Linked DNA regions of Tamandua tetradactyla. The protein of the gene in region 3 interacts with the protein of the main gene of each other region in a biochemical or structural test. Links are inferred from orthologs where the notes say so. Each region holds a gene or a part of one and is shown on either strand. Other genes may lie near its edges.

Evidence for each region.
Region 1: the proteins of UBR5 (region 3) and PAIP2 form a complex in vitro, tested with the Homo sapiens proteins (2 studies listed by BioGRID and IntAct, with this or other methods). The link is inferred for Tamandua tetradactyla from reciprocal best matches to the Homo sapiens genes UBR5 and PAIP2.
Region 2: the proteins of UBR5 (region 3) and OTUD5 form a complex in vitro, tested with the Homo sapiens proteins (2 studies listed by BioGRID, with this or other methods). The link is inferred for Tamandua tetradactyla from reciprocal best matches to the Homo sapiens genes UBR5 and OTUD5.

Annotation. Positions count from the first base shown.
Region 1 is NC_135346.1:19,192,891-19,202,751, reverse strand, and holds the start of PAIP2 (polyadenylate-binding protein-interacting protein 2), read right to left. Parts: upstream 3,839-9,861; 5' UTR 3,689-3,838; exon of another isoform or gene 3,638-3,688; intron 3,192-3,637; exon of another isoform or gene 1,888-3,191; intron 1-1,887. UniProt on the Homo sapiens protein: Acts as a repressor in the regulation of translation initiation of poly(A)-containing mRNAs. Its inhibitory activity on translation is mediated via its action on PABPC1.
Region 2 is NC_135353.1:121,200,507-121,210,673, forward strand, and holds the start of OTUD5 (OTU domain-containing protein 5), read left to right. Parts: upstream 1-5,863; 5' UTR 5,864-6,267; exon of another isoform or gene 6,268-6,448; 5' UTR 6,449-6,725; coding exon 6,726-7,319; intron 7,320-10,167. Other genes in the region: A-type voltage-gated potassium channel KCND1, read left to right, coding at 1-37, 130-228, 489-739, 2,016-2,241. UniProt on the Homo sapiens protein: Deubiquitinating enzyme that functions as a negative regulator of the innate immune system. Has peptidase activity towards 'Lys-48'- and 'Lys-63'-linked polyubiquitin chains. Can also cleave 'Lys-11'-linked ubiquitin chains (in vitro).
Region 3 is NC_135332.1:146,897,020-146,906,989, forward strand, and holds the start of UBR5 (E3 ubiquitin-protein ligase UBR5), read right to left. Parts: upstream 4,115-9,970; 5' UTR 3,891-4,114; coding exon 3,829-3,890; intron 1-3,828. UniProt on the Homo sapiens protein: E3 ubiquitin-protein ligase involved in different protein quality control pathways in the cytoplasm and nucleus. Mainly acts as a ubiquitin chain elongator that extends pre-ubiquitinated substrates.

The DNA.
Region 1 (9,861 bases), on a different chromosome or scaffold from region 3:
ACATTTGGCTTATGTTTTCTTTCATAATTTCATGCTTACTTTTCTTATATTTTCTTTGCTAGTTCTATGAAATATTTTCCTCCCACTTCTTTCTTCCCCCCTCATCTTCTGAGCTTGGTGGAAATAATTTAGCACTACCAGATCCATATTGTTTTAAATTATAGTCTATCATTTTAAAGAATGTTTAAACACAATTCATATTATCTTGTACTTACATTTTACGAGATTCACTGCTCATCATTGTTTCTTGTACTCACCATCTTCCCCTAAATTGTTTTGGTTGAGTTTTAACTAAGCTAAAGTATTTCCTCAAAAGGGTACTAAGGGCTATATATTTCTAAGCTACTACACGGCCAAAAAAGTCTTTTACCTTCATATTTGAATAAAATAAAATATTATTGAGTCTTAAATTTCAGTCCTTTCCTTCAATAATCTACAGATATCCCAGAGTATACTGTTATAAAAAATTAATTTACATTATAAATATCTTGTTTCAGCTGAGAGCGTCAGATGTTTTAACACTTAAATTCAGAAATTTCACCATTCTGGTTAGACAAGAGTAATTTTTTCCTATTAATGTTGCCTGTCAGTCAGCAAACCCTTTCAATCTACAAATTCAAACTTTTATTAAACTAGTAGTCCCTTCAGCAGAGTTGGTGAGAGAGAATCAAGAAAGTTTTGTATTCAGAAGTATATCAGAACTACTGAATTTTTTGTTCTAATGTTTGGCAGTATAGACAGCATAAAGTAACGATTAAAAGCATGGGTCTGGGGTGGTGCGATAGTGGCTCAGTGGTGGAATTCTCGCCTGCCATGCCGGGAGATCCAGGTTCGATTCCTGGTGCCTGCCCATGGGGAAAAAAAAAAAAGCATGGGTCTGGAATTCGGCTGCCTTTCAGTTATGTGACCTTGGAAACCTCTGTCACTCAGTTTCCTCTTCTGTATATGGGTAAGAATTACAGAGCCCGGCACATAACATTTAAAAATGTTTATTAAAACATTTAGAGTACGCAAAAGTTGTTAGAACAAGGTATAAAGCAGAAATCACAGGTCCTAAAACTGTAGAGAGGAAAAATGTCACAAAGAATCCCAAACTGAGGCTATAACCCTAATCTCAACTGTAGTGTAACCAGGGTGATCAGGTAAGAATAAAAAAGGCTCAGTACTGCCTATCATCACTATTAAAAGCTCAATGCCCATGAGAAACGCCATCCTTATTTATAAAATGATATAAAAAATAATAAAGAGGCATTTCGAACCCTCTAAACCTATGCTATCTAATAAAGTTGCCATTAGCCATATGAGGCTCTACAACTTTAAATGTACACACAAAAGTTTAGTTCTACAGTTGCACTAAGCCACATTTCAATGCCCACTATAGTCAGCAGCTACCTTACTATTCTCTACAACAGTATTAAGAAAAGATAAAAAGAATGAATTATTGGATCTGAACCTCAGGCTGCCTCAAATGCAAATTATTAATGCACTTGTGCAACATGGTGGTCCAGATCACAAAGGTGATAACTTGGACAACTTTAATGTTGGACCAGGCAGAAGAACTAGGTTCAAATACCAGATGGACATTGGATATGTCATTGAATCACAGGCATCACAGTATAATGGTTAAGAGCACACAATCTATGGATTACTTGGATTTGAATTCTAGCATTCACTAACTGTTTACAAGCGGGTGAATTAATATTTAATTGTTATATTTATTTTAAAGTATTACCTACCTCCTAGAGATATTAAGATCATTAAATTAGGTTAATATTTATAAAAACACTTGAAAGATATCTAGTAGTACTAAGTATTATATAAGCATTTGCTAAATAAAATAAAAATAAAATCTATTTCCTCAATTTCAATATAGGGGGATAAACTTACTCTGCTCACTTCAGAGGCTGTTGTGATAATATTTGGTATATAGAGGTAAGAGTATAAAAGTTCTCTAGATTACAAGGAAGGAAACAGGGACCTTATTTTCTACCTTCTTTAATATCCCACAATATTCACTAATACTGCTGTGGTAAGTAAACATTTCATAAAATGTTTATATCTTCATCAAAACTGGATCACCAAGCTCTAGAGTCATAAAGGCATGAACCTGAAGAAGGCACAGGGTGCTTATTCACGTAAGTCTGCTATAAACCTACACTGTCCCAAGTTAGAAATTACATACTACAATTTGAGCTCTTAAGGAGCAATATATTATAATAAAAACGCTCCCAAGACTTTAAACATTACAGTGAGTCTCCATTCTCTAACTCCAGTTCCTTAAGAAAGAGAAACACCATTTTTGGTTAAGTATCTATCTAAATTTGTGATAGATAGTTATCTATGAGGAGTAGTGAAGTTTTGCTCACGTTCACAATCAACAAGCAGAGTAAAAAGACTAATTTGTCCCAAATACCCTATTTTTCACAAACAGAAAGCAGTCACAAAATGACAAAACACTGGGATTCTCATTAAAAATCATCAGAGACCCATTTCCTATTTGCAAACACAAACTGCAGCAGATAAGTTCCAAGCCTATTTAGCAAAAATGAAAATCAACACCTAAACAACGGCTCAAATGCAATTTGTGAAAAACAATGCCACCAGGGTAAAAACAGGATTAGCCTACACATACAAAACGGGAATATCTGTCTTCTGTTGAAATGAACAACGGTGTTCAGCTATGCTAAACCTTTTCCCAAGTGAAACTGGAAGCTAAATTCTTTCGAGTGTGGATTTTCACGAGGTGACGGGGTTGCAAAATCACAGGACAGCAAAAGGAAGCAGAAACGGCTCCTTCTATGAATCATTAGAAAATACCACTACTGGCTGCTTCAACAAACGTTTTGAAAAGAAAAGTTCACCACAAGTCCTATTGGGGGACGGGTACAGGAGTAAACACAGAGTATTAGAGAGGAATTAAAAGGTAAAAGGATCAGAATCCAAGACAGTCAATTGGATGGGCCGTCAAAGTTCATGTAGCTCAAAGTTTGCCTGGAGTAAGGGTCTTCAGTACACCAGACAAAGGTCCTACTATTCAGAGCATGGGATACAATTTAACTAAAAATAAGGGGAAGGAAAGGCGAAGAAATGGTAGAAAGGGGCTCAGAAAAAGTACAAGACCGCCAACGGTTCCAGGCGCTCCACTAGAACACACGCTAGCCAGCTAGTCCCTCTGTCCCCTTCTCTCCCTATACCACCCCATCCTCACGTCGGCGGGGGCGCGCAAGCGCAGCGAGTAGGGGTGCGCGCGGCGACGCGCAGGCGTAAAGTGGGTAGAAACAATGAGCTTTGTTGCCGAGGCGGCGTGGGGGGCAGGGAAAAGGCGGAGGGAAAAGGGACTGGGGAGGAGGGAGGACGCAGAGGAGGGGGGCCGGAGAAAGTGCTATCCCGGCAAGCCCCGCGCTCCACCAAGTACCCGGATAGAAAGCTGCCAGCCCCAAATCATAAATAATGACAATGAGAAAAAAAAACGACGGCCATTTCCCAGAGAAGAAAGAAGTGAAGTCAGTTCAAGCTTGTCCCTCACACTCGGGGGAAATGGACAAGGAACAAGGGAGACCATACAGGGGAGCGGTAGCTAACAACCCGCCGGGGACCTTCTAGGCCTCTCAAGCGTCGCTGAGGTACTGTCCCTCACCGCCGGGGCCGCTGCACCTTTCTCGCCGCACCGACCGAGGGGATCCCTCACCCAGTGCACGACAGCGGGGACGGCAGCCAACGAATCCTGTCGGCCTCCGCGGATCTCCACAGGCAGCGCCGCTTCCCCGCTCGACGTGCGCTTCGCCCGCCGCCTCCCTTCTTCAGTCCAAACAAACACCCCAGCCCGGAAGTGACTTCACTTCCCCCTCCGCAGGCCCCGCCCACCCGCCGTCAATTCTGCTCTCCCGGGCCACTAGAGCGCGCGCGAGACAGTACGCTCAAAGGTCTCCTAGTCTCCGAGGCTGCACGTGTGTGCACGCGCAATGGCCGTTTGTACGCAACCCCGTGGCGGGCCGCGAGGTATTTTGGGAGCCCTATGGGGAACACTGGGAGGAGTGCGAGAAGCGGGAATAGGGGCGGGGCCGGTGTCCCCACGCCTCTCATTCTTTGGGAAAGATGAAATACAATGGGTGGGGGATCTGGGGACAAAAATAGATTCTGACAGATATCCAGAAGTGAACTCTTAAATACACTGACATTTAAATAATGATGCAGCTCATTCACACACCCAGATATACATGCCAAAAGTGATAGTGTCACACTAACAATGACAAGCACCTATTCACATCGAGATCCTGACACAGAAATATAATAAACATAAACTAATTCAAACACAGAGGATATAATAGATGATCTACAAGCAACTGCATTCGGACATATACAGGCACACACTCTGTTGAAGTTGGACCTTTTACACAGAGACGAAATATAGGAATACATGGTTCCCAAGCAGCTGTGGAACCAGGGTAGAAAGCTGAGACCGCAAGGCTCTATGATTTTCTAGGGCATGGTCCTGGGTGCGCTAACTCATATTGCTCATTAGTCTAATTCATGCTTCCTCGCTGGCCCCAAGATAGCATTTTTATAGTGAAACGAGTCAAGTACAGAATAGAATACAATATTTGTAAGAAAAAAAGAAATTTTGAATATGTACTGCATTTGAAAGAGGACACGCAAAACTGATCATTTCTTGCCTGTGGAAGGGAAAATGATGAACCTGAAAATGGGTGAGATTCACCTTTTATTATAATCTTTCAGAAACTTTTCTATCATATGCTTGTAATATCTATTAAAACAAACAAAAATTCCCACCATGGGAAGGAATGAATCCAGAAATATGTTATTCCCTTTGAGGACCATTTCATTCATTGAAAACCTGCTTTGAATCAGTTCCAAAGCTCCAAAGAAGTGAAAAACACAAGCGTTCTGCCCTAGCCCCTGGGCCAACCACTTTGGCCATATTTGCACATCTGTATCCTAACCTGGGAGAAAAAGTTTGGCTTTGCTGTCTTAAAGCATACAGCTCTAGGAGGAAGGAGATGATGCTGTTTTACTAGTCTGTGAAGTATATAATTCATGTAAAATGAGGAACCTGAGAGATAAGCTATCAGCCCAGAGGCTGGAAGATGCATGAACAGGAGGGAGAACAAAAATCAAATAGGTTTTTAGATTATCTGTAATTGACCCACTCTTAAAAGCTAATCATGATATTGCTAATTGCCAGCTTGCCAACCCCCAACAAACCACTACTGTCAACCCTAAAGAACACCTAGAGCTTTAGCTGAGGTTCTACAAAAATTCCACACACTAAAATTACTTTCCAGAAACCTACAACCTGTAGATGAGTTCCTAGGCCAGATAAGTCCTCAAATACAGAGGGGCCTGCCTCTGCAAAAATATCAACTAGGGGGCTGTTGGTCCGCCGCGGCAGCGCATTGCGAGCGGGCGTCTCCGGGCGGGAGCGAGCAGGGATGCTCCGGCGGGCGGGCGGCGGCGGCAGCCGTGTGGGTTGAAGTGGCTAGAACAGCGCCCCCCCCCCCCCCTCGGCCTCTCCTTTGAGCGAGCCGCCAGAGCTGCGCTGCTGAGGGCCTTTCGGCCTCCGCTCCTTTAGCCTTGGGGCCCGGCCCGTCGCAATCTCTGTCCGCCGAGGCCTGGAGCCCCTGCCTGGGCCCGCAGCCTACCTACCTCGGGCCGGCCGCTCTCCACACCGGGCCACTGAGCCCCACTTCCTGCTCTTTCAGTTACCCTGGGCAGAGGCGGATGGGTCTGGATAAATTGTCCCGGGGGCTCCCGTTGAGGTGGGCCGGGGGACCACGCTCTTTTTAGAGGGCCCCCGTGGGACCCGGGTAGGTAAGAGTTTTTCTTTGCATGGGCGGGGGACTCCCCGAGACTGCCGGGACCATGACCTGAACTGTGTGAGCGGAATGTGTCCGAAGCTCGAGAGACAGCTCACCTGAGCCGCACCCTCCCCAGACCAGCATGTCATCTGAAGAAGCCTCCCTCGGGGCTTTGGAAAGTCTGATGACAGTTCTTCCATAATTGTACGACCAATGAAAGAAAACGTGAGATAGAGAAGCTTCTTGATAACTCTGCCCAGCAGACAGGAGCCTGGAGGTTCTGCCTGTATTTTCTCTCCAGCACTAGGAATGACTATGTAATGATATACAGTTTAACAGTTTTTGAGAATTTGATCAATAAAATGTGGCTTGGGGTCCCCTCTCAGGATAAGATGGAAATCCATAGCTGCCTTCCCAAACTCCTTTTGGCTCACCACAAAACCTTACCTTACCTTTATCTGGAACAAGCTCTGCAAAGTTATTGTTGATATTGGCCGTCAGGACTGGCCCATGTTCTACCACGACTTTTTTACTAACATTTTACAGTTGATCCAGTCCCCTGTGACAACCCCTCTTGGGCTGATCATGCTGAAGACGACTTCAGAAGAGCTGGCTTGTTCCTGGGAGGACCTCAGTGTTGCACGGAAGGAGGAGCTGCAGAAGCTGCTGCTGGACCAAGTGCAGACAGTACTCGGGCTTCTGACAGGTATCTTGGAGACTGTCTGGGACATGCACAGTGTTACTGCTGCCACTCCATCACCATCCCCAACCTCAGGAGTAAGTGGTTTGGACTGCTGCCACATGTGGCATATCTCTTCTTAAATGCAGTTGGGGGTCTCAGCAGGGCAGCGGCATCTCATCTAGGCCAGTTTCAAATGATCTGTCCTTAATCTATTTCTGGCCTTTTCCCCCATGTTTTCTGAGTTCTAGTTTTCTTAGTTCCTTGTAAGTAATTACACTTTCTCATATAACATATATATTTAATTTTTTTAATTTATTAAACAAACCAACATACAAGCACAGGTATTCTTACCATATGATCATTCCATTCTACATGTATAGTCAGTGACTGATGGTATCATCATATGGTTGTATGTTCATCATCATGATCATTTCTTAGAGCATATGCATCAATTCAGAAGAAGAAATAAAAAGAAAACAGAAAAAAAATTCATACATGCCATACCCCTTGCCCTTCCCTTTCATTGATCACTAGCATTTCAATCTACTAAATTTATTTTGACATTTGTTCCCATCATTTATTTATTTTTAATCCATATCTCATATCACATTTTTTTTGAAATTTTAAATATTAATTACCTTCTATTTTCAGTACCGTGAAGTAATCTCATATCACATTTGATCAACACATTTGTTCCTTGCCTTTCTAGTTGTCTTGGTTCCTCTTAAGTAATTGTATTTTCTCATATAACATTTGATCAAAAAAAAAAGAATATCAACTAGTTCTATCCCCCATTCCATATCTTTGACACTTTCCAACATGAAAAAGTTAAAATAGACATAGCCCAGATACTCCTAACGATTGAGAGAAGGATAAAAGGAAGAGGAGTTATAACAGAAAAGTTAGGATTTAACAAATGAGTATGACTGTTGAATCATTATATTGATATTTCTTTTTAGTCTTGTGTCTTGGAGCAGCTATAAGGAAAAACCTAAAATTGTGGAACTGTAACCCATACCAAACTCTGAAATCTGTTCTATAACTACTTGTTACAATGTACTTTGAAATGTATTGCTCTTTTGAATGTTATATATATATATAAAGGTATCTATTCTTCAGCTAGATATTGCTAGTTGCCACAGTTCATCAAACCCCAGCTAACATCATTAGCCCCGTTAACCCCGAAGAACACCGAGGGCTCTGAGGACCTACAAAAGTTGCGTACATTATTTACTTTTCAGAAACCTAAAACCTTCATATGGTCCCTAGTCCAGATAAATCCTGAAACCCAGAGGTGCCATTCTCTCCAAGAACATCAGCCAGTTTCATCCCCTTATCCCATATTGCTGACATCCCTTTTCAACATGAAAAAAGTTAGAATGGACATAACCAAAAAATCTCTAAAGATTGGGAAAAGGATCACATGAGGAGATATAACAGAGAAGTTAGTATTTAACAAACGAGTATGACCACTGAATCATTTATTTCTTTTAGTCTCTAGTGAATTTGAGCAACTAGAAAACCTGAAATTGCTTCTTTTTTTTTGCATGGGAAGGGACTGGAAATCGAACCCGGGTCTCTGGCATGACAGGCAAAAACTCTGCCACTGAGCCATCGTGGCCCGCCCTCTTTTTTCTTAATTTTGAGATCTCTTATATATAAATACTTGTTACAATGTACTTTGAAATTTATTGTTTTGCTTTAACTTATGTGTAAGACTAAAGCAAAAAATGTTTATTTGGTACAAAATTTATAATTTGAGTAGTGCATTTCCTAATATAATTTATGTGGGCAGTTGTGCTCGTTTGAAATGTATATGACCCCTAGAAAAGCCATGTTTAATCCTAATCCCATTTTGTAAAAGCAACCATTTCTTCTAATCCCTATTCAGTACTGTGTGCTTGAGACTATAATTAGATCATCTCCCTGGAGATGTGATTTGAGTGGTTGTTGAGCTGGATTAGATGGAGGCGTGTCTCCACCCATACAGGTGGGTCTTGATTAGTTTCTGGACTCCTATAAAAGAGGAAAAATTTTGGAGATTCAGGAGATTCTGAGAGAGCAGAACAACATAGTCACGAGAAGTAGAGAGCCCACCAGCCAGCGACCTTTGGAAATGAAGAAGGAAAACGCCTCCCCGGGAGAGCTTCGTGAAGGGAAGCCAGGAGAGAAAGCTAGCAGATGATGCCATCTTCATCACATGCCTTTCCAGATGAGAGAAACCCTGACCCTGTTTGCCATATGCCTTCTCACTTGAGAGGAACCCTGAACTTCATCGGTCTTCTTGAACCAAGGTATCTTTCCATGGATACCTTTGATTGGACATTTCTATAGACTTGTTTTAACTGGTACATTATCTCAGCCTTAAAACTGTAAACTAGCAACTTATTAAATTCCCCTTTTTAAAAGCCATTCCATTTCTGGTATATTGCATTCCGGCAGCTAGCAAACTAGAACAGTTTAATTGAACACCATAAGTACAAGAAATCTTGAGTAGGGCATGAGATTTTGTTGGTTCTGTCCAGAGTAATGCCCTGATCCCAGTGATTTGAACAGTGAATAAAAAGTATCTGCAAAGTCCCTTTGGGGGAATGGTGAGAAAGGGGGAAAATTCAACTTCCCCATGTGGAGAATTCCTGATATTCTCACAAGCAGTGGGGACAACCAAAGCAATAGACCAAGCCTTCAATCTTGGGGTTTGTTCACATGAAACTTATCCCTGCAAAGGATAGGCTAAGCCTACTTAAAATTAGGCCTGTTATCCCCAAGAGAACCTCTTTTGTTCTCAGATGTGGCCTCTCTCTCTCTCAGCCAACACAACAAAAAAAACTCACTGCCTTCCCCCTCTCTACGTGGGACATGACTCCCAGGGTTGTGGACCTTCCTGGCAACGTGGGACAGAAATCCTAGGATAAACTGGGACTCAGCATCAAGGGATTGAGACAACCTTCTTAATCAAAAGGAAGAAGAGTGAAGTGAGACAAGATGTCAATGGCTGAGAGATTCCAAACAGAGTTGAGAGGTTTATCCTGGAGGTTATTCTTACGCATTATATAGATATCACCTTTTTAGTTAAGGTGTAATGGAGAGGCTGGAGAGAAGTGCCTGAAACTGTAGAGCTGTGTTCCAGTAGTCGTGTTTCTTGAAGATGATTGTATAATGATAGAGCTTTTGCAATGTGACTATGTGATTGTGAAAACCTTATGTCTGATGCTTTTATCTACCTTGTCAACAGACGAGTAGAACATATGGAATAAAAATAAATAGGGGGAACAGGTGTTAAAATAAATTGTTTGAAATGCTAGTGATCAATGAAAGGGAGGGGTAAGAGGTATGGTATGTATATATATATATTTTTTTGTT
Region 2 (10,167 bases), on a different chromosome or scaffold from region 3:
TGCCTTCCTGCAGTACAAGCAGAATGGGGGCCTTGAGGTCGGTAGGGTCCCGGATTGGGTGGGAGGGGGTTGAGCAATGACAGGAGAAGGAAGGTGCTGACTTGTTCCTCTCTGTTCTGTCGACTCCAGGACAGCGGCAGTGGGGAGGAACAGGCACTATATGTCAGGAACCGTTCTGCTTTTGAGCAGCAACACCATCACCTGCTGCATTGTCTAGAGAAGACAACGGTGAGGCTTAATGAGAGGAGGTGTGGCACAATGAAGTGGGGGTGGGGGTCAACACTGTTGCCAAGCTAGCTCCGTACCTGGAATGGGAGGCTCACTACTAATTGCGGAAATCCTGGAGGACTTCCTGGAAGAAGTCACGAGAGAGCCGAGCCTTGAAGGGGTGGACAAGGAAAGGGAAGTGAGAGTGACTTCCAGAGAGTGGGAAGGTGGGACCAGCCTCTGTGGTGTGCCCTGTGATCTTGCTTCCCTTCTTCCCACAGTGTCATGAGTTCACGGATGAGTTGACCTTCAGTGAGGCCCTGGGAGCTGTCTCCCTCGGTGGCCGCACCAGCCGGAGCACCTCGGTGTCCTCCCAACCAGTGGGGACCAGCAGTTTGTTGTCCTCTTGCTGCCCCCGCAGGGCCAAGCGCCGTGCCATCCGCCTGGCCAACTCCACTGCCTCAGTCAGCCGTGGCAGCATGCAGGAGCTAGACACACTGGCTGGGCTGCGGAGGAGCCCTGGCCCTCAGAGGTAAGCATCCCTCTCACCTGCTGGCCATATCTGGGGTAGTGCAGATCTTGGACCAGGAGGTCTGAGATTTCCTGATTCTAAGTGCAGCCAAATCAAGATGGAACCCGAACTCCTCCATGTTAGGTATGGAACTCCTTGTTCTTCATTCATTTATTGAGCACCTACTGAATGCCAGGCAGTTTTAGGCACATGGGTTGAAGCAGTGAACAGAACAGACAGAAAACCCTGTCCTTCTGGACCTTATATTCTAGCAGGATGAGACAGTTAATGAACAAACACATATGCAGATTGTGTAGCATGTTAAACATTTGTAAACATCGAGGAGAAAAATAAATCAGGCTGGAGTGATAGAGTGGAGACCAGGGGCTAATGCAGTTTCAGCAGTGTAGTCAGGAAGGGTTTACTGAGGTGATGTCTGAGCCAAAACTTGAAGGAGTTAAGGGAGTGAGCCAGGGAGATATCTAGAGGAAGAGCTTTATAGGCAAGGGGAACAGCCTGTGCAGAGGCTCTGAGGCAGGACTGTGTCTGTATGTTAGAGACACAGCTTCCTACTGTGGTTGGAGTGGAGTGAACAATGGGGAGTGTGGTAGGAGTCAAAATCAGAAAGGAACGCAGAGGGGGGCAGATTATGCAATACCTACTGTAGGCTATTGTCAAGACTTGGGTGTTATTATGAGCAAGCATAATAAGTGACTTTTTTTTTGCTCTTAGTAAGAGGTTGTAAAATTTTATTTTTTTAGATAAGTCAAAGGTTTACCGAATAATCATGCATAAAATACGTACAATACCAAGTTCCCATATACCATGGTATTATTGAGACTTTGCCTTCATGTGGTATTTTTGCTATAATTCCTGAAAGAACATTTTTATCATCGTACTATTACCTATGGTCCATCGTTCACAACAGATGATATTTGTGTGTGTGTGCTCATTATGTTCCCAGGCCCTGTTCTGAGCACTTTATATCATTCGTTATCTCATCTACTCTCCGTAACAACCCTAGGAGGTAGGAAATATCATTATTCTTTTGTTACAGATGAGAGGAAAGAGAGGCTTGGAGTGGTTAAAGTGGAACCGGGATTTGAATCCAAGACTATCTGACTCTGGAGCCCGTACTCTCTACTACCATGATTGAGGATATAGGGGAAGCAGTTAGCACAGTGCCAGGTGCTTGATAAATGCTAGTAGGAGCTCAATAAATGCCATAATTACTGTGGCAATGATTAAGACATGACTTTTTTAAAGAGCCTTCCATCTTCCCCACCCTTGTCCACAGCCGTTCAAGCCTCAATGCCAAGCCCCATGACAGCCTTGACCTGAACTGCGACAGCCGGGACTTCGTGGCTGCCATTATCAGTATCCCTACCCCTCCTGCCAACACCCCAGATGAGAGTCAGCCTTCTTCCCCTGGCGGCGGCGGCAGGGCCAGCAGCACCCTCAGGAACTCCAGCCTGGGTACCCCTTGCCTCCTCTCTGAGACTGTCAAGATCTCTTCCCTGTGAAGGGTGGGCCTACCCAGCCAGAGGGCCCTCTCAACTCTTGGGACCTCCTTTCCAAAGCCATATTTTGAGGAGGCACAGAGGGGTAGGCCTGGGGACCCCTTCTGCCCTCCAGTGAGAACTATGCAATGGAGTTTCATAGAACTGCTCACCTGGTAGGGAAATAACCAGGAAAAAGGAAACTTCTCCCACTCCAGATGATTTTCCTGGTGGGAGCTGAAGAGCTGGGTGTCTGCAGGCCCCCAGCTTCCTTGACCCAGCACTTGGGGACTGGTCCCTCTCCCCTAGCTGGCCCCCCGCATGCCCCTACTCTCAGGCCCTTAGAGGTAGGTAAAGCTCCCATCTGTCATCTTAGCTCTGGTCCCAGTAGGAGAGCTGAGATTTTTTTCTTCTTTCTGGCTGGCCTGTGGAGGTTTGGGTGTTCAGAGAACATAACCTTCACTTCTGATCTGGTTGCTAGGAGAGGTCCCCACTCTCTACCAGGCCCAATGACTCCCAGACCCTGAAGCTTGGAATGCAACCACAGGCTTCCATGGGCTATGGCCTCAGCAGTGACCTGCCATCCCTAGGCCTTGTCTGAGGGGTCAGGTCACCCCTGCCAACACACACAGATAGCACAAACACCTTTTTCCCTGGCTGCTGGAAATGGGTCCCTGCAACCCGTCCTCTGCCGGGCCTCCAGCAAACTCTAGCAATAGCAGCTGCTGCTCTGACATTATGCAAAGCCTCTGCCCAGTTTGCTGCAGCATTTACATTTTCCCTAATCAGAAGGGCCACCTCTAACCATTCCTCCCTTCTCTTCTCTGGTTTGCTTCCTTCCTGGGTTGGGCTGGAGGCTGGACTGACTGAGATAAGAGTCTAGCAGCCAGCAAGTGCTTGGCTGTGTGTGGAGATCTTGGGCTGGAGTCCAGAAGCATAAGGGATCTGAGACCTGGGTTGGTCCTGAACTCTGGGAGTTGTAGGAGGCAAGAGGAACTTCACGATCTCCTCCTCCTCCTCCCCCAAAACTCCTTTTCACATATTCTTCTCTCTTCTCCCTCTTGGGTCACCTTCTGGAACTCTGTGTCTGCTCTCAGGCTGAATTCTGGCATCATCTCAGGTTCCCTGTCCCTAGCACTGTCCCCGTGGAGCTGGTGGCTGACAAAGATGTAGTTTCCATCAGTCAATAAAATCTGAGAGGAGAGATGAGGACTGAGCTCCTCCTGGCTCTGGGGGCTTGGGAGCTGGGTTGGGCTGGCGGGTTAAGAACACTCTGATTTCCATTCCTTTCAACTAGTAGAAGGGCTGGTGTGGTTAAGGTATAGCAGGTGGATGGTTAATGATATGTTCTGGAAGATGGGGATCTAGGAAAATGCCCTGGGACATACCCCTCGGACATTATCTGATTATTCAAGATGGGGAAACTGAGACCCAGGGGAGCACATAGCTGGTTGGAGGAGACTCAAACCCAGGTTTCCTGGTAGCAAGCAGCTCTGAATTTAATCCTAATGAAAAGCATCCCTGAGTTTGGTGCATTCCTTTTCCTCGTGGAGGTCCCCTACATTCTCTCTTTTGGGCTACTGATTATACTAGGTTGGTGTATGACTAGACTCTGTGGAGCAACAAGAAGACAGACCTTGAATTCAGGTTGACCTGGGTTTCAATTCCTGGGTGAGAGAATCACTTACCTTTTCTTGTCTGTCTACTAACCTGTACAATAGAGATAATCACTCATTTGTTCACCAAATATTTATTAAACACATATCACACGTTTATTCTAGGGATGCAAAGATGGGTAAAGTGGACGTTGTCCCTAAACTAGAGAGTTGAACACAGAAGGCAAAGACAATTAAGCAATTACAATATAGTGTGGTAGAAGAAAGGTAGATGGGTTACAAGAGCATAGAGATGGCAGGAGAACCTAACCTTGCCTACACATGAAAAATGAATTGGAGTTAGCCATGCAAAAGGCAAGGGGGCGGAAACGACTTGGGCAGAAGGAACAACATATGCAATGACCTGGAAGTTAAGAGAGCGAGCTCAGGGTATATAGAGAGCTGAAAGTACTTCAGTATGGCTGGGGAAGAGTTAGGCTGTGATGAGGGTGAGGATGTAGAGGTAGGCCAGGTCACAAAAGACCTCTGAAGCTATGATTCAGATTTTGGACTTCATCCTAAGGTTAATGGGAACATCTGTAGGCCTATCCACAGGAGAGTCATGGTGAGGCTCATGTTTCAGAAGGCTGTGAAATGTGGAGTTTTATAGAGCGAGAGTCCTGGAGGCAGGAAGAACAGTGAGGCTTTTCAGTATATAGTTGGGAAGTGATGGTGGTTTGGACCAGAGTAATGGCGGGAAATTCGGAGTCAAGAGATTTTGGAGGGAGAATTGGCAGGTTTGGGTTGACTGGGAGTTGAGGGAGAGGGTAGCAGTCATGGTTAAGTCCCAGTTTTCTGGCTAGGGCAACTGTTGGATGGTGGTGCCATTCACTGTCAAAGGGAACATTAAGGCTGTTAGCCACACAGAGCCAGGAACATAGTAAATACTTAGCAAAGGTTAGCCATGATTATTCTTAAGAGCTCAGTTTTACATGTATAGTGCTGAACAAATATTCAGTAGGAAGTGGGATATGGCTCTGGAGTGAGATAATCTCGAGAAGATTCAGTGTGATAATGTGCATAAGTCATTTGACATAGTGGTCCAGGAAATGTAGGCCCCTAAATGTGTGCCCCTCACTTCCATAAAGTTTCATGAGCAGAAAACACCCCTAGAGCCCGTTTATTACTGGCACCCCTCAGGGAAGAACTTGAACTTGCTAGGCATCTGAAGGGAGAAGATAGGTGGCTTTCAGACGAGATTTCTGATGGTTTCTCTTTCAACCTGTTGTATAGCTTGCCTCCTAAGATTACAAGGACCGCTCACGTTTCAGAACTTTTTGATTCATGAGCCCATCCATCTGAACACCATAATTACTCCCTGAGGTTGTCTAGACAAACATTATCATTCACATTTTGCACGAGTAAACTAAAACAAAACAACAACAAAAACAATACAATGAGTTGCCTAGGGTCACACATTTATTTGGTGATGATCCATCCGGGACTGGGATGGAAATCTTGTCTCCCGAACCTGGGATCCTTCCACTGTACCGCCACGGAAACAAAGTTACTGAGCACTATGTGCCAGGCACAGCACCAATCCCTTTACAAACATCAATCTCTGATCCTCATTTTTAAAAAACCGGAATCATCGTTGGCATTTTAGAGAAGTACAAATTGAAGACGGTGCGTGCGTTAAATGACTTGCCAAGGATCATTCACACAGGCAGGGCAGAGCTAGGATGAGCTTGCTGCTCTCCAGCCGCTCAACAGCAGGGATTTTTTTACCAACCCCATTGTGAGACGCCAGCCAGTGACAGAGTCGGTTTGCAAACATTCACTAGACCCAAGCAAATTCAGTATTTCAGAAAAATGCTGTGCCGCGCCTGCGCTTTAGCTGAAGGGGCGGGGAGGTCAACGCGAGGGCGAGCTTGCCGTAGTGCCCAGAGAGGGCGTGTCTGCTTCCCAAACACCTACCGCTCCCTCGGAGGTTGCGTTTCTGTCCCAAGGTTGGCCCTTCCGACGTGAGTGACGGCGTCTCCTAGCAAACCAGCGCAGAATCCGGCCTGTTGCCAGGGTGAAGCGGCACCCGCCTCTCTGCCTGATGGGTTTTTGCAGGTGGGTGGGACCGGAAAGACGTTGCAGGGGCTGCTTTGCACTGGAAGTGTTGATGTTTTCCAGTCAGTCCGGCTGACTGCGGCCAAGAGTGCGAGCCTGGAGGTGAAGCGTGCTCGTCACTCGGCGCGGCACAGGCCGCACTGGCCTTTCGCAGTACCCACACCTGCAAAGCAGAGCCTCGGGAAGAAAAGCGAAAGGCAGGACGAGGTCAACGGGAAGAAAAGCGGGAAGCAAGGGTGCAGACTTTGAAGTCTCAAGGTGGAGGGCTCGGAGGGCCAACGCTCGCTCCTAATTGGCCCGTGGGCGTCGTTGAGAACCCGCGCAGCTGATCTGATTGGTTGGTGCCCGTAATTGTTGTGGCGGCAGTGGAGATTTTGCCCACGTACTTCCGAGCGAAGGGCGGGCCGGTATCCCGGCGCGCCTGCGTAGCGCCGCCCAGGCCCCACCCGGTAGTTTAAGAACCTGCGAAGGGGGCGGGGCGAAGAGGGCTTGTTTTGGTTCTGTTTCCCTCGAAGCAGAAGGCCGAAACGAGCGTAGCAGTAGACGTGCTGGACTTGGAGAGAAGGCCACGACAAACTCGCAGCGGTGCCTGCATCTTGGACTTCACATCCGATCTCTGCCAGCGTGACTCGGGAGCGACCGACAATTCTCGAACCGGCGTCTCAATCCCTTTATCCGGGTCCCGCCGTTCCCGGCGTGCTTCGCGCACCATCGTAGAACCCCCCCCTTCCCATCCGGGTCCCGTCCCGGCGTGCCGCGCGCCGGGTTTGCTGGGGGGTACTCCGTGGTGCAGCCATGACTATTCTCCCCAAAAAGAAGCCGCCGCCTCCCGACGCCGACCCCACCAACGAGCCGCCGCCGCCTGGGCCGCTGCCCCCGGCGCCGCGCCGCGGCGGGGGTGTGGGCGTGGGCGGCGGCGGCACAGGCGTGGGTGGCGGGGATCGCGACCGTGACTCGGGCGTAGTGGGGGCCCGTCCCCGGGCCTCACCACCACCGCAGGGCCCGTTACCCGGCCCACCGGGTGCACTTCACCGCTGGGCGCTAGCCGTACCGCCTGGCGCTGTGGCGGGTCCCCGGCCGCAGCAGGCCTCTCCGCCTCCGTGCGGGGGTCCTGGCGGTCCCGGCGGCGGTCCCGGCGACGCGTTAGGTGCAGCGGCGGCGGGCGTGGGCGCGGCGGGCGTGGTGGTGGGCGTGGGTGGTACCGTGGGGGTGGGCGGCTGCTGCTCTGGGCCGGGGCATAGCAAGCGGCGGCGTCAAGCCCCTGGGGTTGGCGCGGTTGGCGGGGGCAGCCCCGAGCGAGAGGAGGTCGGCGCAGGCTACAACAGTGAGGACGAGTATGAAGCGGCCGCAGCACGTATTGAGGCCATGGACCCTGCTACTGTCGAGCAGGTAAGGGCTTGGGAGGTGGTGGTGGCGGCGAGTGGTGGGTGGTATGGCTGATGGGATCCTCAGACTGGTTGGGGATCGGAGGAAGGCTCGTTTCAGATCACCTCGAGGGACCTGAGCTTTCTCTCAGGGCCTGGCACCCCTTTTTCTAGGGGTAGTGGCCCGAGACATCACTCCCTTCAGAGGACTCTGGGTTAGAGACCTAGATAAGATGGGGAACTTAAAGATGGGGTCTGAAGCCTCTTCTAGGGTTCATAGTCACTCGGGGCTTTAGGCTCTCAGCTGATAGGGCCAGTAGGTGAGAAACCCTCAGGGGACACTGGCCGGATGAAGAGCCTCCGGAGGAGTGGGAGTGGCTGATCTCAGGCCTCTCTCCAAGGTAACTAGATCTATGTTCCGTGGTTCAAGATCCTCTTTCCCCGGTGATAAAAGCTGGAGACTTCTCCTCCGTGGAACTCAAAGGAGGTGGAGACCTTAGTGATGGAGTCTGAGCATCCCAAAGTATTTAAACCTTTTCAGGATTGTGAGACATTTTGCCTGGGACAACCCTCACCTTCCCTCTTTCCCAGGGAGATACAGTATAGGATTGTTCATTAGTGAGGTCTGAGACATCCTCAAGGGTCCTAAGGTTGCCTTTAGGGACCTGAAACTCCCCTTTTCTAGAATCAACAGCCTGACACACATACATGCATACTCTTTAGAGATGATACAAGGTTTTTTGCCGGGTTATAAGACATCTCTTAGGGAAGTGAGAGCCCCCTCCCCCTTGGGGACAAGTGCCAAAACCTACCCCCAGGGACCAGAATCTCTACTCAGGTACATGAGACTCATCTTTCCTCTGAGTGACAAGGATCTGTGCTTTCCCTTAATGTATTGAGACTACTACTCAGGGAACATGGGCACCATAGTGTTCTCAGGGATGGGGTCTGAGGCCTACCCAGGGATCTAAGCCTGCCTTGAAGGGCCTGAGTTCTCCCATTTTGGGGCCACGGACCTGATACTCACTCTGCCAAGGAGACTTGGAGCTTTCCCTCAGGGACAGGAGACCCACATACATACCACAGTATGGCTGTGTCTCTAAGGATGAGGACTGGACTTCTCCCTCAAGGAACAGGAGTATTCTTTCCACCCCACCCCCTCCCCCAGAATGGAGCTCTGAGATGTTTCCCTTGGGACATGGGATACATGGATGCAGAGGCTTGAGTGTCCCCATCCCCATGGTCCCCCCACTTAAGCATTTGAACTTTCAGATACATAAGATCCTCCCCTCTCAGGACCTGAGACTTGAACCTGTCCTGAGGATACTGTCTGTCACCTCATCTCAGACAACATACACACACCCAGGTCATAGGCACCTTTATGGATATAAGATTTCTTGCCTTGGAGACTTGTGTCTGAGAATCCTCTCCCCACTTGTGAACTGAGTCCTGAGAACTCCCCATTCAACTTGGGGACACCAGGTAGGGTGAGATTCTGAGACACAGGCTCTGAGCCTTTTTCCAGGGGCCTGACCTTCCCCTCAAATTCAAGAGATCTTTCCCCTTTTGAACTGGGGCTGGAGCCTTCTTTGAGTGTGCAGCTCCCTCATCCCTCCCTCACCCCCCCCCACCAGATAATTCATTCTCACCAGGGAAAGGTACCTAAGGTTCTCCCAGCGTGGCCTAAACTTCCTCTATTGAACAGAACAGCCTGAGTGCCCCTTCAGGGTCATAAGAATCCCTTACCCTAAACCCTCTCAAGGTTAGGGCCAGGAAGGTTCCCCTACTTTCTAGGGGATCTGTCCTGGGACATGGAATCTGAGGCCTCCCTTCAGGAACTGGAGGTATTCTGAGTCTGACTCTGACTCAACTATGCTTGCTTCCCACTTCCACAGTCTGGGAAATATTCTAAGCTTCCTGAACTCCTGTATTTGAGAAGCTTTCTTCTTTTCAGGGATAGGGAAAGGGTTTGGGGCCTCCCCACTCCAGGGAAATTCTTTTCCCACATCCCACTCACCCTTGATGCACTTCATAGGGACCAGGGCCTTTTCTTGAACCTTCTGTTCTCATTCTCTTTCCACCCATCATTTGTTGTTTTTTCTCTCCTGAATTGGGGTGAAGTCTGCCTTTCCTCCCCAAAGGAATAGGGAGTGATCCATCCCTGGACCCAGGGAGAGAAAGAAAGAAAGTCCTATGCTGTCATGATGGCTAGAAAAACGCCTCCCTTCACCCCCTTTGCATCTCCTAGTTTGGGAGTCCCTCCCTTCTGCTTTTTCTCATAAGAACAAGGAGATAAAACCCTGTGGGCTCATGAAACTTTCACTTCTCAGTGACAGAGGAGAGGCTTGTACTTGAAGCAGAAGAAAATGCTCCTCTTCTCCCTGCTTCGGCTGGTCTAGCCTTTAGACTTTTTGCTGACTGTAACTCCAGTCTTGGTCCTGAACTGTCACTGGAGGCATTTGTAACCTGGAGATCAATTGAACCCTTTGGAAAGAGGGGAATTGTTGAGGGGGAGCCCAGATAGTGAATCTGGCGCCCCACTCAGGTTTTCTGTTCATCCCAATGCTGTGAACATACATACCCCTGCTTACTTTAGGAGACCTTTTGGTACTTTGGGGTCCAGGTGCTAGGGTGGTGGTGATGTTAGGGATTTCCTTTCCCAGGTATGGCTGCCTTGCTGAGAGTCTTCCCTATAAAAAGAATGGCTTGTAAACGTCCTGAGCTTAAGTACCTCACAGAGCTCTTTGGTGTGTGTGCGTGTGCGTGTGTGCGTGTGTGTGCGCGTGTGTGTGTGCGCGTAGAGCTCTTTGGTGTGTGCACGCGCTGAGGTGGGCTGTTGGTTGAAGAAGCTGGGCCTGGCACTGTAAGCCAGG
Region 3 (9,970 bases):
GGGGGAAAAAAAATCTAAGACAGATGGGTACAAAGGCTGGGATATCTCTCACGGCAAAAGTATTCTGGAATACCATCTATGTCGAACAGTGTTAAGAACCCAGAACTGAAAAAAAAATTTTTTTAATTAAAAGGAAGTCAGAAGACCCAAGATGTGGCCCTCATCTGCCAGTAACTGTGTGCCCTTGAATAAATTCTGTACATTTTCTGGGCCTGTTTCTTCATGTGCCTAGTGAGAGGACTTCGTTGTCCTGAACAGTCACTTTCAGCTCTCCCTTCAAGCTCAACATGCAGAACCATGAATTTGGTATTGGTTTGCTATTTCTCTGAGACAATGTATTAAACAGGAACACAGCCCTAACTTTCTGTTTTAAGTAGGAACCCAGCACTAAGTCCAGGATATTCATCAGAAAAATAAAAAAGTATTAGAGCACTAAATGGTTTCAATTCAACGGAATGAATATTTATGAGCGGCTGCCCACTCCTGCCAGAGACCTTATAATCACATGTGTAAGCCACAACATCCCAGACTTTGCATTTCTCTCTTTTTGTCTTAACCATCCCCATTCATTCATTCATTCATTATTTGGTCTCTGTGGGCCAATAATTAGGCACAAATTACAATCCAATATATGCAGACTATCAGTATTAGCAAACTTAGAAACACAAGTTAAGAATAAATTATCAGATACAACTGTTTTTCTTAATGCTGAGTACACTTTAGATGTTTGAGATATCAGACTATTAAAATATATGGCTTTTGACAGAATTTGGATATTAAAAGAAAGCATATTTGAAGAATATTGACGTTTTAAGGCCCCCAAATTTTTAACTTAACAATTTATTTGCTCTATCATACTGCCTGTCTAATCTTACTGCTTTCCATATAAAGAATAAAGTCTACTTATTTATACCCTTTTCCAGCCCAAACTTAGTTTTCACTTTGAGACTATCATAGACATGTTTCTCATAAAAATCAAGCTGTATTGTGATTGTGAAAACCTTGTGTCCGATGGTCCTTTTATCTACCTTATCGACAAACGAGTAAAACATATGGATTAAAAATAAATAAAAGGGGGAACAAATGTTAAAATAAATTTAGTAGATTGAAATGCTAGTGATCAATGAAAGGGAGGGGTATGAGGTATGGTATGTATGGGGTTTTTTCTGTTTTCTTTTTATTTCTTTTTCTGAATTGATGCAAATGTTCTAAGAAATGATCATGATGATGAATATACAACTATGTGATGATATTGTGAGTTATTAATTATATAACAAGAATGGAATGATCACATTGTAAGAATGTTTGTATGTTGAATAAAAAATAAATTAACAAAAATCAAACTATATTAGCACACTCCTTTCTATTTCCCCAAACTTAGTAACCCTTAATAAAGTTTGTATCTGTTGAAAATAGGCTGAGCTGCTTGTTACAGTCAATTAAAAAGTTTCAGAAAGAAAAACTCTCAAAAAAAGATTTTTCTCAAGCAATGCAGCAAAAAGCTGATCTTATAACTGTGCGAGTAGGTATGCAAAGAGGATCATTTCTTTTGCAGGGGAGACACAGAACAGCTCCCACCGCAAGTCAACTACTTCAAAACAGGGTCATAACTGTCTCAAATACTGCCTTCACAAAATAAATCTACATGGATGAGACATTTTAGATACAACTAGAGAGCCCTAAAATTTTACGTACAACACCTCCCTTTTTCAAATATTTTTCACAATGATGCACACATTTTATGATCTGAATAAAATCCACTTGTCTTTTTCCTTGTTTCAGGAAGTGAAAACTCAAGAAGATTAAATATTCTTAATATTACACACAGACATCACAGTAATAAAAACATAAGCTGATAAACTGCTTGCAGTAGGCATGGAAAAGGTAGCTTAAAAAAGACATAACTTGTATATTGCTCAATGAAGCAAAATTTAAAAAGTGCAAAAATGAACCATTTACCACAACTGTAAAATAAATAGTTTTTGACATGCATAGCCAATTGAGTAAACTAGTCAGGATTCTTGATACATAACGTTAGGAGTAATATAGAAAATAATTTTCTAAGTTAAGCGCTACTGACATGGTTCTGTGAACGACATTAAACCTATCCTTACTACTAGCCTGGTCTTAATACGATGACTTCTACATTTACAAAGAATCTTATGCTGAAGTCTTAAAAAGATCTCTAACAAAATAAAATCATAGTAAGGAGCACATGACAAAACGTTTAAAAGCTTAAAAGTTATCTCAATATTTAAGGGAACTATGTGACAACTCCAAATAGTTAACATTTCCAAAAAGTATTTCAAAAGTTTCACACACATGTTAAATACAATATGGCTACAGCCAAGATCAGACAAATCCGAACCCAGTGCCAGAAACTAAACAGCCCGCTTTTGGATACAAAAGCTGTTGGCCGACCTGAGGCGGTTACATACATACACTGAGACAGAGACAATATCTTAACAGCAAATTCAGCCTCCTCTTCCCTCTTTGAAGTGAATGACAAACAGGGCGTCATGCAAATTATGTCATCGGGTCACTTAGCAAAAATTTATACCTAACTTCTAAATTTGGGACCAAATGGCTTCTACATTCAAAAGAAATACAGATAGCAGATAAAGCCCTGGAGCGGAGGAAGAGTTTAAATGCCCCATTTTCTGACCCTTTTAACATTATGCCCATCACTAGATCTGAGCCCTAGATTTTAAAGCATGGTTAAATGGAGGCCTCTCTCAACCTCCTGAGTCTCTTGTTTTTGCAACAGTAAAGGAACTTTTCCTGCTTTATCTCAGTTCCCGGTGAGCAGGCGGCCCTGCAATTTGAATATCCTGAACTGGCAGGGTACGCTGGTGAAGAGATGAAGAGGAATCCACAGCGAAAACAGCCTTCTTATAAAAGACAAAAAAATAATAATTCCTCGTCCGCTCATAGCAAACCCATCTCAGAAATGTACAGCGCGTTAAGCAACACTGCGAATTGCAAACGTAAGAGTTTTCCTTTGACTCTATGCACGGTCTTCAGCTGTCAAATTACAACTCAGGAAAACACTATCATTAGAATAAAAAAGGAAACAAAAAAGCTCGCACCAAAGAGACTTGAGGATGAACTGCCAGCACCGTTTCGGAAGAGAGAGAGCAAAGAGAACCCGCTCCCCCACCCCCTGTGGAATTCATTCCCTCCCCGGGCTGGCAAAGCTCACTGCAGGGGCTCAAATTTAATAATAATAACAATAATCATGGCGCTTCCTGCTTCCCTCGCGGCGCACCCCACCCCCACCCCGATCTGCCGGGAATCGGCTTCTTCCCGAGATCCCCAAGCCTGGTGGCTTCCGTACACCCCTCCGGACAGAGCTCCTAGGGGCCGGGGCGAGCCCGCCCCAGCCCAATCCGAGCCCCAAGCCCCGCTTCTCCGCTTCTCCTCTTCCCTCTTTTTACCTTCACCATCCCCCATCCGCATTGTCTGTCTCAATTCAACTTTGACTAATATGGATTCCTCGGGCCTGGGCGGTAATTACAGCCCGCCCCCGGGAACCGAGCCCCCCATCTCCACCGAGTTCAACGCGGCTCCTCTGGGCGGGGGCTGCAGCGCTCTCTCCAGTCTACACCGCGTCCCTCGTCTACACCGCGCTCCCCCCGCATCCCCCGGCCCCAGGGACAAGAAGTTTGCCCTAGAAGGGGCCTAACCGAGGGCAGCAAGGACCACGTCCACCCCCCGCCCCCCAACAGCGGTCGGCCAGCGCGTAAACACCAGCGCTCGCCCCAGCGCGGCCCCGTGGGGGAGGGGAGGGCGGCCCTCCCCCGCTCGCCCGGCGGCCGGCCCTTTTACCTGTCATTGAGCTGGTCCTCGGTGCCCGGCAGCGGGTGAACCACGAAATGGATGGACGTCATGGTGCTTCCTACTCGTCCTCCTCCCGGGGACAGCCCTCTCCCTCTCTCGCCCACCCTCCTCCCCGAATACCCTTCCCCTCCCCAAAACCCACAACTGCCGCCGCCGCCTCCCAGTGCCCAAATGGAGGGAAACAAATGCGCAGGGGCCGCCGCCGCCTCCCTGCCGGGCGTTATGTCCGCGGCCCGGCGGCCCGGCGGGGAGGGCAGGAGGGCGGATCAACACGCCACCCGCTCCCCCCGCGACAGGTCGAAGGAGTGCGAGGCCGGCGGCTGGGACCCGAGGCGCGCCGCCGCCAGCGGCAGCCGGGAGTCGGGAAAGGGGGCGACTGGAAGGGTGGAGAGGGGCGGGCTGCGGGGTCGGTGTGGTCCCGGCGGCGGACGGGGTCCGGACTAGGGAAGGTGGCGAGGGAGATGAGCCCGCACCGCGCGTCACTGGCGAGAAGCCGTAGCCGCCGCCGCCGCCAGCACCTCCGCCGCCATCTTCACTTCTGCCCCAGTTTCTCCGTCTCGCAGGCTCCGCTCCGGAGGGGCGGGGGAGGGGCGAACGGGTGGAGGAGGAGGGAGGAGACCGGCAGGCGGGGGCACGACGGAGAGGGGGCGGGGCTCCGGGAAACGGGCGGTAAGACCTTTTCGATTGGACGGCTCAACGTGGTCGGGCCACGACGCTGTAAGGCGCGTGCGGATTGGCCGGCTCGGCTTCCGAGCCCAGCCCCCCCGGGGGGGCGAATCTCCGGAGTGAGTGTTCAGGAGAGCACGTGTTAGCTAGGAGGCGGCGGGGAGCGAGCTCTGGAGGGAGGGTGTGTGTGTGTGTGTGTGTGTGTGTGTAAGAAGGAAGAGGAGTTCTTGTATGCTTCTTATGATTTCCCTGGGGCAACCCTAATTATTTTGCGGACTCGTAGGGGGTTTTCCTTGTTTTTTCGTCCTGCATCCGCAGTTTTATTTCAAGTGGCAGCGTAAAAACAGTTAAGAAGCAAGAAATAAACAGTTTTATTTTTATTGGAGAAGTAAGGTAGTTATGTAAGGACCTTCCCAGAAGGTAATAGTAGGATCATGGAGCTGACTTTGCAGCAACTTATTTTATAATCCTACGCTTCCCAATTTCCCCCATCACCACCCTCTTCACTTAACACAAAAACAAAATGTGGAAATTTCAAATCTCCTGATTTAAATGATTCATGATTCTTTAAAATTACTTTTAAATGAAAGATGATGTATGTATTCTATATACATATAATGTATATAATTCTATACATTAATTTTTTAATGGTTCTATATGCTTTTTTCTGGGTTCCTATAATCTCATCAAAAAGACAAGAAGCTCTGAGGAACTCTCAAACTTAAGGAATTTAAGAACAGAAACTGAAAACATAAAGCATCTTGTCCAGTCTGTGTGGATGTTCCGTAAGTTAGGGGTCATGTAAAATGTATTTAAGTAGAAATGTCACATTTCCCCTCTTAATGCATAACATAAACACACACTCTTTTGCTTAGGAAGTTCCTTTGAGCGAAATGTGTGAAAATTTATAAATCAGGATAGGCTAGGTATCCCTGGAGACATACAAAGGAACACTTTTGTAGGTCACCATCTCCAAGATTGGCCCAGATTAATTTAGACTAAAAACTGAGTTCAAAATGTCAAAATAAATTTAGATTGAAATACTAGTGATCAATGAAAGGCAGGGGTAAGGAGTATGGTATGTATGAATTTTTTCTGTTGTCTTTTTATTGCTTTCTCTGAATTGATGCAAATGTTCTAAAAAATGATCATGATGCTGAATATGCAACTATGTGATGATGTGAATTATTGATTATTAGAACGGAATGATCATATGTTAATGTTTGTGTTATATATTTTTTTAATTTAAAAATTAATAAAATTAATTTTTTTTTTAAAGTGAGTTCAAGACCAATATGGGGAAGCAGGGTGGCCCAATAGAGACTGCTAGTTTAGAGCCAGAACAGACCTGGATTTGAGTCCTGGTTCTGTAACTTACCAGGACATTGTGACATTGATTAAGCTATTTAACCCATCAGATTCTTTTTTCTCTATTAATAAAATATTCCATAATAATAGAGCTACAAAGGGTCATAGTGAGGTCTGAGTGAGATAATGTATCTCATGCACCTAGAGCAGTTCATAATAGGTTCAGCAAATGGAAGCTTTTATTTACGAAAAACTCACTGTGTACCATTTTGTATACTTTGTGTCTTTTAATCCTCAAGTCACACTATGGTGTAAATAATATTCTCCCCATTGTATAGACGAGAACACTGAGGCCCAGAGACCATAGGCAGGTGCTGAAGTTGAGAGTTAATCCCAGATCTTCTGACTCTGATTCTACTGCTGCCATCTAGTAGTTAAAAATTTAGAAGGAACAGACTGTTCAAAGTCAACAGTAAAAAAGTGATATGATAAATATAATAAAAGTATTATGGAAGTTAAAGGAGGAAGTGATTCCAGCCAAGAGAATTAAGCTGAGCCCTCAAGAATGTTCTGGCCAAATATAATTCCTGGCTTAAACCTGATCCTTTTAAATGTACCTATGAGCCAGCTCCACACGATGACCATACCTTGCCTCATTTCTCTTTTTTCCAAATCTGTCCTTCATCTTTTTCTTTTCATTTTGCTTCCACCCTGCTTCTGACTTGATTTACTCATGCCGAGTTTCCTAGAATTGTGACTTTCTCGCCTTGTTGAAGTCTGGCCTCTTGGCAGCCCATTCAAACTGCCCACTTGATCTTTGACTAAAAACTACCTTGGCATTGATGTTTTTTGTTGTCCCAGGCTGGCATGTTTGGGACAATCCTCCTCTTCCAGGACTCTACACTTTGGTGGTTCACATTTTGGACAGAGGAAAACAAGATAAAGGCACGGGGTTGTGAAAGTCCATGGCATGGGTGGGGGTAGAGGAAATGGAGATAGGGGAATAAAGATAAACAAGGCACAGGCAAAAGCTCTTTGAAGAGTCAAAATTCCTTTCTGATAATTTGGATTAATCTCCCTCTGAGGACAATTAGAAAAGTTAAACAAAATATTTATTTAAATCTGCCCAAAGGCACAAGAGAACTAACAAAATAATAATGAATTACCAAATCAATACCTAAGGGAAGAATGGAACCAGGAAGGTGAGTCTTGTGTTTGTAACCACTTTTTCTCCTAGGGATAAATATCAATTCCAGAAAGATAGGCTAAAAAGCCAAAATGCTAAGCAGTTCTTCTGACCAGCACTCAGGGCTAAGATAACAGGGATTGATGTCTGGGCCCTTAATGCAGTGGGGAGCACTAATGAGCCCCTATTACTTTGTGTTGAGATCTTGAAGGGCTGGATCCCTGAGATAGACCATGTCTTAGATTTGATTTCCCCAAAAGCAGAACTGGAGGTAAAGTTACTTATTTGGGAGGTGACCCTAGGAAGCACTGTGTGGAACTGGAGAAATGAGCCAGGGAAGGAAGAAAAGCCAATAAACAGTATATCCTGATAAATGTTTTACCACTGTGGGTAATTGGAGTTCAGTCTCATTGGGGACCCTCTAAAAGACTGTGTGGAACACACTCAGAATTGTCCCACTGAGTGGGGAGAAAACTGGACATATAGAAATTTATTGATCAACTCCATTCCCCAAGAAGTTCAGGGTTGCTCCTGGATTGTTAATTCGCTGACACTTCAAGCCTTGCCCATTTGCAAGCCAAAGAAAACTCTCAAGAATTTCAAGACCGAAAGTAAAATTAAAATAATACATAAAAAAAAAGAAAATGAAGAAGGAGGAAGAAAGAAAAAAGAAATGTGCGAAAAAATTAGCAGGCAAAAGGAAAATGATTACCCAGTATAAGATCACAGAGCCAAATGGGAATGAAGAATGAAAAGGGAAAATATATAGGTATATGAATGTTGACAGAATATAACAGTAGGGATTTGTGCTGGTTTGAATCTATCATGTACTCCAGAAAAGCCGTGTTTTAATCCTGATCCAATTTTGTCAAAGCAGCCATTTCTTTTCATTCTGATTCAACATTGTATATAGAAACTTTTGATTAGAATATCCCCATGGAGATGTGGGATACCCAGTTGTGGATGTGACCTTTGATTAGATGGAGATGTGCCTCCACCCATTCCAGGTGAATCTTGGTTAGTTTACTAGATTCCTTTAAAATAGAAAACATTTTGGAGAGTCAGAAGTGTCGGAAGCCTCAGCAATGACAGAACAGATGTAGATGCTTGGAGATCAGTTACTTCAGAGAACAGAAACATGCATGTTTGGAGATACTTGGAGCTTAGCAGACATCATCATGAGATGTTAAGCAAGCCAGAACCTGGAGAGAGCCAAGGGAAGTCAAGAGATGAAAGCTGGCTCCACAGAAGCAAAGTGAGGAACACTCACAGGGACAGAGCCTGAAAGTAACAAGAGCAAGGAACCAGCAGAGCCAGCCACCTGACTACCCAGCTGACAGAGTTGGTGTCTGACCCATCGACCTTCCTTGAATTGAGGTATCTTTCCTTGGATGCCTGTAAACTTGCAACTTGATAAATTTCCCTTTTTAAAAGCCATTCATTTCAGATATATTTCATTCCGGCAACTGTTACAAATGAAAACAGGGTTTAAATTACAGAGAGCAAAAATACCATTGGCAAAAACTGACTCAAGAAGAACTAGAAACTTGATAAGTCCTATAACTATTTAAAAAAATCAAATTCTAATTTAAAACCTTTCTTCAAAAGAAACTCTGGGAAAGGATGGCTTCACTTCTTAATTATGCCAAACAGCTAAAAAGATGGCTCAGTGGCAGAATTCTCGCCTGCCATACCAGAGACCCGGGTTCGATTTCCAGTGCTTGCCCATGCAAAAAAAAAAAGTATCAATCTTCCCTAAGCTCTTTGGGAAAAATGAAAAAGAGAAGAAACACCACTCAGTTCTATTTCATGAGACCAGCATATCCTTGATATCAAAAGTTGAAAAGGATATTAGGAGAAAGGAAAATTATCTGCCAATTTCATTTATTAACATAGTTGTAAAAATCTTAAACAAATAGTAGCAAAGCAAATTTAATATTATATAGCAAGGACAATCTATTATGAACAAGTTGAGTGTTTTAACCTTTGAAAAGTCAAACGATGTAATTCACCATATCAAAAGAATAAAGGAAAAATATCATTAAGTCATCTCAGAGGATGAAAAAGCATTTGTGAAGTTCTATACTATTAGGTATGCCTAAGAGTTACTTCTGGAAGACCTCTTTTGTTGCTCAGATGTGACCTCACTCTCTCTAAGCCCAACTCTGCAAGTGAAAACACTGCCCTCCCTGCTACATGGAATATGATATCCAGGGGTGAAATTCTCCCTGGCAGCCTGGAAGATGACTCCCAGGGATGAGTTTGGCCCTGGCACCATGGGATCAACAATTCTATCCTGATCAAAAGGGGGAGAAGAAGTGTAACTAATCAAGTATCTGTGGCTGAGAGAGTTCAAATAATGTTGAGAGGCTACTCTGGAGGTCACTGTTACACAAAGTTCAGTTAGACCTTGCTACCTATCATAACTTGCCAACCCCCAACCAAAACCATTCCTGCCAATCCTAAAGAACACCTAGGGCAATATGTAAGATTCTACAAAGGTCCCATGCATTAGGGTAACTTTCCAGAAATCTACAACCTCCAGATGGGTCCCTGGACCAGATAAGTCTTAACGCCTAGAGGGCCCAGCCTCTCCAGAACATCGGTTAGTCCCGTCTCCCTTATTGATAGCCCTTTCCAATGTTGAAAAAGTTAGAATGGCCATAGCCCGAATACCCCTAACGAGAAGTATGGAATAATCAAAGGTGATGGTGGAGTTATACAGAGAAGCTAGGGTTTAACAAATGAATATGATTTCTGAATCATTAAATTGATATTTCTTTTAGTCTCCAGTATCTTAAAGCAGCTAGAAGTAAAAACCTAACATTGTGAAATTATAACCCATACTAAACTCTAAAATCTGTTCTACAACAAATTGTTGTGCTGTGCTTTGAAATTTATTGCTTTTTTGTATTTATGTTCTTTTTTACAAAAAAAAAAATTCGATTGTGATGATAAAAAAAATATTTA